Neurospora crassa OR74A: one gene and its partner. The protein of the gene in region 1 binds, or shares a complex with, the protein of each later gene. Links are inferred from orthologs where the notes say so. Each region holds a gene or a part of one and is shown on either strand. Other genes may lie near its edges. The genes, in order: dot and NCU06091.

Evidence for each region.
Region 2: the proteins of dot (region 1) and NCU06091 are in contact, whole or in part, in a crystal structure (PDB 4TU3), measured with the Saccharomyces cerevisiae proteins. The link is inferred for Neurospora crassa OR74A from reciprocal best matches to the Saccharomyces cerevisiae genes SAC1 and VPS74. Residues at the interface, in NP_012710.1 of Saccharomyces cerevisiae: Gln9, Tyr69, Ile95, Ser97, Thr98, Lys99, Phe100, Asn101, Ser102, Arg103, Ile104, Ile112, Glu116, Lys120; in NP_010660.1 of Saccharomyces cerevisiae: Ser164, Gly165, Glu166, Thr167, Trp168, Asn169, Leu170, Leu171, Lys172, Ile173, Gln176.

What each region holds. Positions count from the first base shown.
Region 1 is NC_026501.1:6,839,741-6,844,302, forward strand, and holds the start of dot (synaptojanin-1), read right to left. Parts: upstream 2,916-4,562; 5' UTR 2,401-2,915; coding exon 2,193-2,400; intron 2,121-2,192; coding exon 379-2,120; intron 299-378; coding exon 125-298; 3' UTR 1-124. Other genes in the region: NCU00895 (RAB GTPase Ypt5), read left to right, coding at 3,674-3,749, 3,808-3,854, 3,916-4,107, 4,175-4,522. UniProt on the Saccharomyces cerevisiae protein: Phosphoinositide phosphatase which catalyzes the hydrolysis of phosphatidylinositol 3-phosphate (PtdIns(3)P) and phosphatidylinositol 4-phosphate (PtdIns(4)P). Has low activity towards phosphatidylinositol-3,5-bisphosphate (PtdIns(3,5)P2).
Region 2 is NC_026507.1:1,844,774-1,849,284, forward strand, and holds NCU06091 (vacuolar protein sorting-associated protein 74), read right to left. Parts: upstream 3,105-4,511; 5' UTR 2,357-3,104; coding exon 2,105-2,356; intron 1,894-2,104; coding exon 1,647-1,893; intron 1,548-1,646; coding exon 1,087-1,547; intron 956-1,086; coding exon 866-955; 3' UTR 58-865; downstream 1-57. Other genes in the region: NCU06090 (hypothetical protein), read right to left, coding at 3,908-4,511.

The DNA of each region.
Region 1 (4,562 bases):
AGCTCATGGTCTTCGTTCCCTACCGGTCGCCAGTCACCCTAAACCTGTAAAATATGTGTCTATTCTATATGCCAACATTGTGATCGTTCCGCCGAACCAGATTTTTCCACGCGTCAACAAGACTTTACTCAATCCTCTTCTTACCCTCCTCGGCGTTGATGTACCGCGCCGTGCTAAGGCCGCGCTCATGCTTAGCGACCAATGGCCCAAGGATCTTGTCCTTGCGCACAACCTTGGTGATGGTCTCGTGATAACCTTCCACGGCCCAGGGGCGAGGAACCAGCTTTGGCCAGTTAACCTGTTTTTGTTCATGTTAGTAAACCTCCTAAGAGAAAGGGGTAAAAAATTTAAATGAATTAAAGCAAGGAATGAACTCACATAGAGCATGCCGTTCGAAATGATAAATGTCAACGACCATGCCGCGACAGCCGTCCAGAAAATGATGAACAGCCTCATCGGCCACACGGCACTATCGGGTAGCCTGGGCGTCCACATGCCCACAAAGACAAAGAACAGACTAAAGGCGGCCAGGTAGGGGATCGCCTGGATCAACACCGGCCTGCGGTCGACAAAGACCAGCTGAGAACCAATGTTCGCTGCGCCGGGCTGGTAGACGCCCAGGAAGAGGTCAAAGGCGTCCTGCCTTGGACCGTCGAAGAAGTTGTTCTTGCAGTACCTCGTCACAGCAATGTTGGCGTCGGCGAGCGCGCCGGCCTTGGTACGCTTGCCCGTCCGGGTCAGGTCCGTCTTCATGGCGCCGGTGCCGGCGTAGCTGTTGGACACAATGTCGGCGTTATCGGCCCACATGTTGCGGAACATGAACTCGAAGGCCGGGTCCTCGTCCTTGAACTGGGAGCCGCGCGCCATGAGGCCAAGGTCGATGAACATCCTGTCAAGCGTCCAGCGCGCGAGCATGGACTGCACAACGTTGGTGCGATCAAGGCAGTCCATGCAGTTGGTGCGCACTACGCTCGTCTGGAGGTTGCGAACTTCAAGACGGCCACCGTTGACCTGGCTGGCGGGAGAGTCGACGGCGCGGAAGTATTGCTGGGCAATCAGGGCCTCGTGCATCCTGTCGATGAGGAGCTGGGCACGGTGCATCTGAAGTCCCTTGGTCTCGGCGTGGAAGTCGAAGTAGATGTAGTGAAGGCGGTCGAAGGAGGTCTGGGGCTTAGTGCTTGTTTCGATGGTGTGGAACTTTTCGTCGGTTAATGCGTCGGACTGGACACGTTCCTTGGGCGATGATACGAGGCGGTCGACCATCTGCTCGTAAGCTAGCTTGACGCGGGTCTCGCGGCCCTTCTGGTTGACCAGGTTCACCAGATAGTTGTCGCCATAGAGACGGATCTGCTCGTCGAAATGCGCCTTTGCTGCGGGGAAGGCGGCCTCAGTGCTCTTGAGCTGAATCGTAGGGGTATACTTGAGGTTGTTCACTTCGGCCCAGTAGACAGGGACACTTCCACGTGTTTGCACATAGGACAGGACCTGCATCTCCTTGCCGTCACTTCCACCAAGCTTCCCACTCTGCATGTCGCCGCTACCAGTGAAACCTCCCAAGCCGCTACCACGGTCGTTCAAGACCACGATCTGCTCCGTCTCATTGTAATTGGAGGCATGGCCCTCGGCATCGATGCCTCGAGAGAAGTAACGGGTACCAGCGCGGTGTCGTGATCGGCGGGTGATCAAGGCAATCGTTATGGGGGTACCCTTAAAGGTGGTCGGGTGGATCTCGAACATGCCGAAGATGACGGGAAGAATGTAGGGGTCGATGCCGGGCTGGGGAGCAGGAGAGCCCCTCCCGCCCTTGGTTCGGAAGTTGATGAGGTCGGACTGGAGGAATCGGTTCCAGAAAAAGCGGTCGTCGGCGCGCTGCCACAAAGGCGTGGAGAGGTCATGTTGGGCTTGTCTCTGGCTGGTGTTTGTGACGTCGAGCGAGTAGGAAAAGTACATGGGCCCGGACTTGATGAAGCCCTTGAGCAAGTTCAAGAACTTGTCCTCATCGTGGTCGTGAATCTGTCGTTCGCGGAGGGGGAGGAACTCGGTCGCGACAACCTTGTACACCATATGGCCCCTGAGGCGGCCGACTGGTTGCGCTTTGGTGATGACGATGATGTACTTATCTGCGAAACGTAGGTAAGTTTACGGAAAGGAGTTACATGACGATACAGGGGTTGATTGTTGTCCTCACTCACCTAGGCGCAACCTGACAACACCCAGGATACCGGCGATGCTGGATACGCGGGCAACGCGCTTGCCGGCGAGGAGGGAGGCATCGCTCAGACGGATATCGCCAGTGGGGCGGTCGATTGTCAAGGCCGGCGCATTGGGACTGGAGGGCGAGGTGAAGATGTAAGAGTCCGAGGCGGCCTGGACGTTGATGTCCCGGAAGGGGAGCGTCATGATGATGAGGCAATGTATGTTGTCTGCAGATATCGTAGAAGCTGACTCGACGGGAAGCACTTGGACGACGTTCTTGAGGGACGGATGAAAAGGGACAGCAACAGACTTGGGGATGGCCTCGTCATGAAATGGACCGAAATTATGTTGTTTCGATACAGTGTCCCGATCTGGACATGGACCTACAGGGCCCTGAACTCTGGAAGTTTTGCCTCCTGTTGCCGGTCCTTGTAGCGGGTCTGTTAGCGGGCGGTAATCTCACTGCGCCTTCCCCGGATGCGTTGACGTGTGGAATTTCCAGGACATCCAATGCGATGCAGTGGAACGAACACTTCCACTTTAAGTTGTTCAGTTGCCCGGAATCCCACCTCCCGTCACCGTCGAACATTGTGGCCACTGCCCGGGCACCTACCATAGAGGTAGAGGTAGAGGTAGGTACCGCACTACCTGTAGCATCCAGAGACCTGATCACCTCGATGAAACTCGAAGCCGCTGAAGGAAGTGCTTGCCCCCAAAACATCATCACCACACACACACATACACACAACCAGGAAATGCCCGCCTGCCCCTTTCAGTCAGCTCCGTCCCTGCCGGCCGTCATCATCAAAGCCACTGCTGGCGTGACGCAACCCTTCCTCTCCCGGCCCAATCACGTGTAAAGAAAGACCCGAGTGCACGTGCCATTTCTTGCACCGCCCTGCAGCACAACCTGCCCGGGGGCTCCTGCTGAGGGCTCCCGCCAGTGGATTGCTGCAGCGGTGGGCTGCCGTAGTCAGAGTGCTTCCAGCGACCTGACCTTCCCCGTCATCACCAGAATGACGGCCGCCCTGTCCATTAAACACCAAACACTGAAGCGAACCTAATCCGTCCACGGGGCCCCCAGTCATCCCGTCCACCACCACCACCAGGCACTCCCACACTGAACTGTTCCCTGGCCTTCCTTTCGGCGGCGTGCTGCTCCTCCCGCCCTCCGTCACCTTCAACAACAAACGTCTTGTCTTGAACTCAACAACAACTGTTTTCCTCGATTTTCTGCTTCAACGACTCCATACCCGATACCCAAACTTGCTGCTTCGCGCGTCACGTTCCCGTCCAGCCTTTGTAGTGGCGACCTGCAAACGACTAATCAAGCACCTGACACCTCTTTGCCCTTTTATCTCTTGGTTAATTAATCTGGCCACCCCCGGTAGCGCCGCAACCCGCTTCGCCAGCAACCCCGTCTAATCTCCCGACTACACATCAACGTCACCACACCACACCACATCATCTGTCCATAATGGCCACTCGTGGACCTCCCGGCGCGCGCCCCGGCATGGGAAACCGCTTTGCCCAGTTCAAGCTGGTATTGTTGGGTTCGTAACAATGATAATGGGCTCGTGGAGGGGGGCTTTGATGCTGACCTGCATGCAGGTGAATCGGCGGTTGGAAAGAGCTCGATAGTCTTGCGCTTCGTCAAGGTACGCCCAGCTCCTACTCGGCGCTTGATGGGATTGAAGCGGGCAACTGACCTCCATCCAGGACCAGTTTGACTCGTACAGAGAATCCACGATTGGCGCCGCTTTCCTAACACAGACCATTGCTCTCGACGAAAACACAACGGTCAAGTTCGAGATCTGGGATACCGCCGGCCAGGAGCGCTACAAGTCTCTAGCGCCCATGTACTACAGAAATGCCAACTGTGCAGTAGTCGTTTACGATATCACACAGGCGGTATGTGGCCTTTCTCGAGGTCCTTGTCTCTGCCCGCGCGACATGAGCTGACGTAACCCCCTTCTAGGCATCTCTGGACAAGGCCAAGTCGTGGGTCAAGGAACTTCAGCGCCAAGCAAACGAGAATATCATTATCGCTCTTGCCGGTAACAAGTTGGATCTCGTGCAGGAGCAACCCGATAAGCGTGCGATTCAGACGGCCGACGCCCAGGCATATGCAAAGGAGGCCGGCCTTCTCTTCTTCGAGACTTCTGCCAAGACTGCCGAGAACGTGCAAAACCTGTTCACCGAGATTGCGAAGAAGCTGCCCCTCGACCAAGTTGGACCGAGGCATGCTCGCCCGGGCCAACGACCGGGTGTCAGTCTAGCTCCCGAGGGGGCCAACACCCAGGTCGGAGGGCCTTGTGCTTGCTGAGCCTGTGACGGGGACTGTTTCGGAGTTTGGGAGCTACGTA
Region 2 (4,511 bases), on another chromosome or scaffold:
CTGTATTATAGCTAGATGACAGCATGGATTTAAAGTCAGGGTACACATGTGGCTAAACGACTGAACAAAGCATATGCCTTTTTTTTCGTACCCATCACTGAAAATTTAGCTATTTTGGTTGCCATGGGGTTACCGCCACCGTCTTTCTCTAACCTAATCCTGTTCATATTCCATTACTTCCATGATAAAGTAAGAGGTGTAGTAGACGTACAGAAAACGTGCAGCATCAATCAATGTGTGAGACCACTACACTACGCTTTCGCCCCGGTCGACGCACTCATCCCTTCATTGTCATATTTTTCTTTTTTCCGTTCTTTTTTGATTTTCGCATCTTCGCTTCGCCTCATTGTCCATCGGTATCTGCCCACCTATCCACACCAATCCTCTCATATCCTCCAAGTAAAACCCAAGCCTCTTACCATCTCCAACCCGTCCTCCTCCTATTCGACCTCGAAGAGAGTAGTAAGTGGGAGACCAAAAGAGGGAAATTAAAAAAAATGTTCATCATCATACCTACCCTACCATACAAGGAGACGAGGTGAAGATATTAAGTAAAATAGTAGGCCCTTCTGCGCGGTTGCTTCGCTGGTGTGATAGAGTGAATCAGGTAAAATGCGCTGCGTCCTCCGTGTTGTTGGATCAGGAAGGCCGGCCTTGACTGACCCCTTGCCCGCTCGCTCGCTCGAAGACCCAGCGCCCACCCACCACCCCTTGTTCGTAGTGTAATCGTGAAAAGGCTTCCTTCCCCCGACTTTCACTCACTCAGCACAACACATCATCATCATTCTCGCTTTTCGGGGTGTCTCCCACGCTTGTCCTCAATGGCTGGGCTGTTTGCTTTCTCACAATTCCCGCCGTGCGCCATTTAGAGCAGGGAGTCAAGGCGAGTGAATACGCTCAAGCAAGCCGCCACGACTTCGAGCTGGAGTTCCTTGTCCTTTGCTTTGTTGACCTCCTGTTTGTTTGGTGAGCATATGTTAACTAAAATTCTCGCTTGAACAGTCCGCTCGGTTTTTTTTTTTGGAGGGGTTCTTTTTTCTCCCTCTTCCAACAGAACCTCTTGGATAAGAAATCATACAAACGTACCTCATTAATAACTTGCGGCAAGTTCGCCCCCACACCACCATTCCCACCAGGCAACGGCCTCGCCGCAAACGGCCACTGGCTGTACTGCAGCAACAGCTCGTCCGCCATGGAAAAGGCGTTTTCCCTCGCCTCGTGGCCGAGGGTACTCAGCGCGTTCTCGAGCACGTTGGCTGCGTGCGCCGCGCACACCATGGCGATTGTCCGCACGTACCGGAACTCGAGGTCCTCGGGCAGGTACTGGGTCGGGGTGAGCACGACGGTGCGCTGCGTCAGCACGTTGCGCACACGCCGTCGGATGTCCTCCTTGGCGGCGCCCTCGACGACGGGGTGTGTGGCCATGTCGAACAGTAGGAAATTGCGCTTTTCCGTGCGCAGGATGCCCTTGTCGACCAGACCCTTTGCGAGCCGCTCGCGGACTTGTTTCAGTTGGTAGCCGATTTTCATGAGGTTCCAGGTTTCGCCTGTGGTATTAACAGGTCATGTCAGCACGTTTGCTTCCGCTTGGGTGTGCACGATAGACATGGGGGGAATGGAGATGGGGCAGTGACGCAAACACGTACCGCTCATCAAGTCAATCCAGGAGCTGACGCTCATCTTCTCGCTCGTCTTCATCATCTTCAGGGCCTCGTCCAGCAACACCTCGCCCGTTAGAGTGTCGTCAATGACTTCGATGATTCGGTCCGCCAGGGGGAAGCGCCGCCGGGAAGAGTCTTTTTGCATACTGATGCGGCCGCGGAAGGCCAGCTCGAGAACAATGCATCCACGAAGAGCATAGGAGATGTTGTCGTTCCAGAACGAAAGGTAGCCCTGATGGGGGTTGTCTTGTTAGCCATGTCGTCTCTCGTCGTGCCCAGGTTCCGAATTCCGAATCATGAAAACAGTCCAAGGAGCAGCACGTGGCGAACGTCAATATCGAGTCCAGCCATAGTCAGAAGATAGCCCTTTGGTAGGCCCCTACAACATACAAAGGGATAGTGTAGCGAGCGAGACTGAGAGAAAGAGAGACGTGGAGACAAACCTCGCGATCCTTGATGCCAAGCAATAAGACCTCCTCCATCAGCGTTAGCTTGGGTTGCTTGCTCCTCTCTGCGCTCTCGCTCAGGTCGCGGGGATCGAAGGCAATCCTGTGTCCGTTCTCGCCCGTCTCGTAGCTCGTGTCGGGCCCAACGTCCCTCGTGTCGGAAGCGCCGCCGCCGCCGCCGCCGCCGCCGACGTCGCTGCTGCCTCCTCCCGCGCCCCTGCGCCGGGTCAAGCCTGATGTTGATGCCATCTTCTTCTTCTTCTTCGTTTTTTTTTTCTTTATCGGGGACTGTTTCTGATGTGATGATTGGGCGGCACGAAGCGAATGTGGTCGGCCGAGTTTGGGCGTATGTGCACTGGTATTATTTCCCCGTGTTTTCGCGGACAGGGGGAATTGAAATAATTTCGGTTTCGCGGTAACACGTGGGGATTAGGATTGCGGATTGGGGATTCGGTAGGCCTGGGTGTAGCCTGTGTTTCAGAGGAAAGGGTAAGGCCGACTAGTAGAGGTAGTAGCCTGGTCGATCAATTGTCCCGAACGTGGAGGTCCGTCCTTCGTTGTCGTCGTCGTCTGGGGGGTGGTGGGAAGCCGCTCTTCGGCGCGGCTCTTGATGATGCGAGTGTTTGTCGTTTCGCTAGTCTGTTGGTGTTCTCTTGGCTACCTCTAGCAGGACCGACGGGGGGGGGGATGGTTAGGTTTGGTTGAGGCTGAGTGGTGGACTCGGGTATGTAGAGGTACGTAGGTAACGGGTCGGTGCTCGACGGGTCCCTCTTTTGGTTGGCACAGGCAGCGCGCAGCAGTGCCGGACGCTGTTTTGTGCAGCGGTCAAAGAAAGAGAAAGTCCAGAGGTGGGATCCCGTCCTGGTCCGCGCGGCGGATGGAGTCTAATCGGGTCAAGAGCCAATCTCAGGGTCCAGTTCACCTGCGGCGCAAAGGGGTTCTAAGTATCAAACCTTAAACTTGGGTGCAGTTGGAGATGGCTAGGTTATGTGTTTCCTGTATATTCTGAATGGCCACGTTTTGAAACGGCTGTTTCTTTGTTCAATGCTACCGAGGGATGAAGTCATTAACCCCTTCCAAGCTTCCCTTGTGGAACGGAACACGGGTTGCTCCGATCATGATAAAATCGTGTAGCATCACCTAGAATTATGTCGGCTTCCAGGCGCCGTGTTAGTGCTTTGATTGCGAATAAAGTAGAGTCCGACCACCCAGCACTAACAGCACCTCATTTCACAGCTGGAATTTAACGCCTACACCGGAGAGCGCCTCGGTATCAGACAAGCAAGAAAGGGAAGCTATGCGTCTCACATCACCAATTCAAGTCACCGGACAAAAAAAGAGAAAAGACTCGGTGAGCTGATAATCACTTTTTAACTCCCTGAAGATGCTGCCTCGCTGAAGAAGAAGGGGGACCTCCAGCCCCTACCTCCTCCCTTCGCCACCACTACTAAAAGCTAGCTAAGTATAAAAGAACAAAAGACAAGGCTTGCCCAGCCTCGTACCATGTTAACCGCTTGTCGTGATCTGGTCCAGTTGTGATATGTACGTGTGATATAATCTCTTTTTCCATTCCGACCGTGCAAAGAAAAAAGAAACGAAAAACCATGAGGAAAAAAAACAAACGCCAAAAACACCACCTGTTACCCCCTTCCAGCAAGAAATATGTACGTAGCGACAAGGCAGAAGAATGGGAAAAGGATATGCCAGCCTCCCGAGCATCTGCCGCTATGCAGCAGCAGTGGTATCAACATCTCTCTCCAAAAAGACAAAACACCCCTTGCTGAACACCTTATCCGACGCTTATTTCTTCTTACCACCGAATCCGCCCTCGAATCCAGGCCTGCTCTTACCCTTGGAAGCACCTTTTCCTCCACCCTTACCGCCCTTGCCGCTCTTGACCTTGATGCCCATCTTGCGGGCCTTCTTCTCGTCCTGCTTCTTCTTGATGTTCTCCTCGCGCTTCTTTGACCTATCGTACTGGGCCTTGGCGACGCCCTCCTTGCGCTCTCTCCACTCATTGGCGCTCTTGCTCTTTGCCTTCTCCTTGCGCTTGACAGCCTTCTTGAGCAGGTGCTCGTCGTCGTGAACCTTCTCGCCCTCGGCACGCTTGCGAGCAGCGAGCCACGTCTCCTTCTCAAGGACTTCCTTGCGCTTATCTTCAGGCAAGGCCTCGAGGCGCTTCTTCTGCGCCTCAAGCTTGGCAAGCTTGGACTTGGCGTCCGTGGGGCCCTTCTTCTTGGTTCCGTCGGACTTGACAAAGGCGGCGTCACGAGAAAGCTGAACACCATCAGAGAAGGCGAGACGTCCGAAAGCAAAGTTGGTTTCAACATCGTCCTTGGGGCTGAGCATGCTTAGGGGAGAGTTGCGCGAGCTGGCAATAGCCTCTGACCGCTTCCGATCCTCC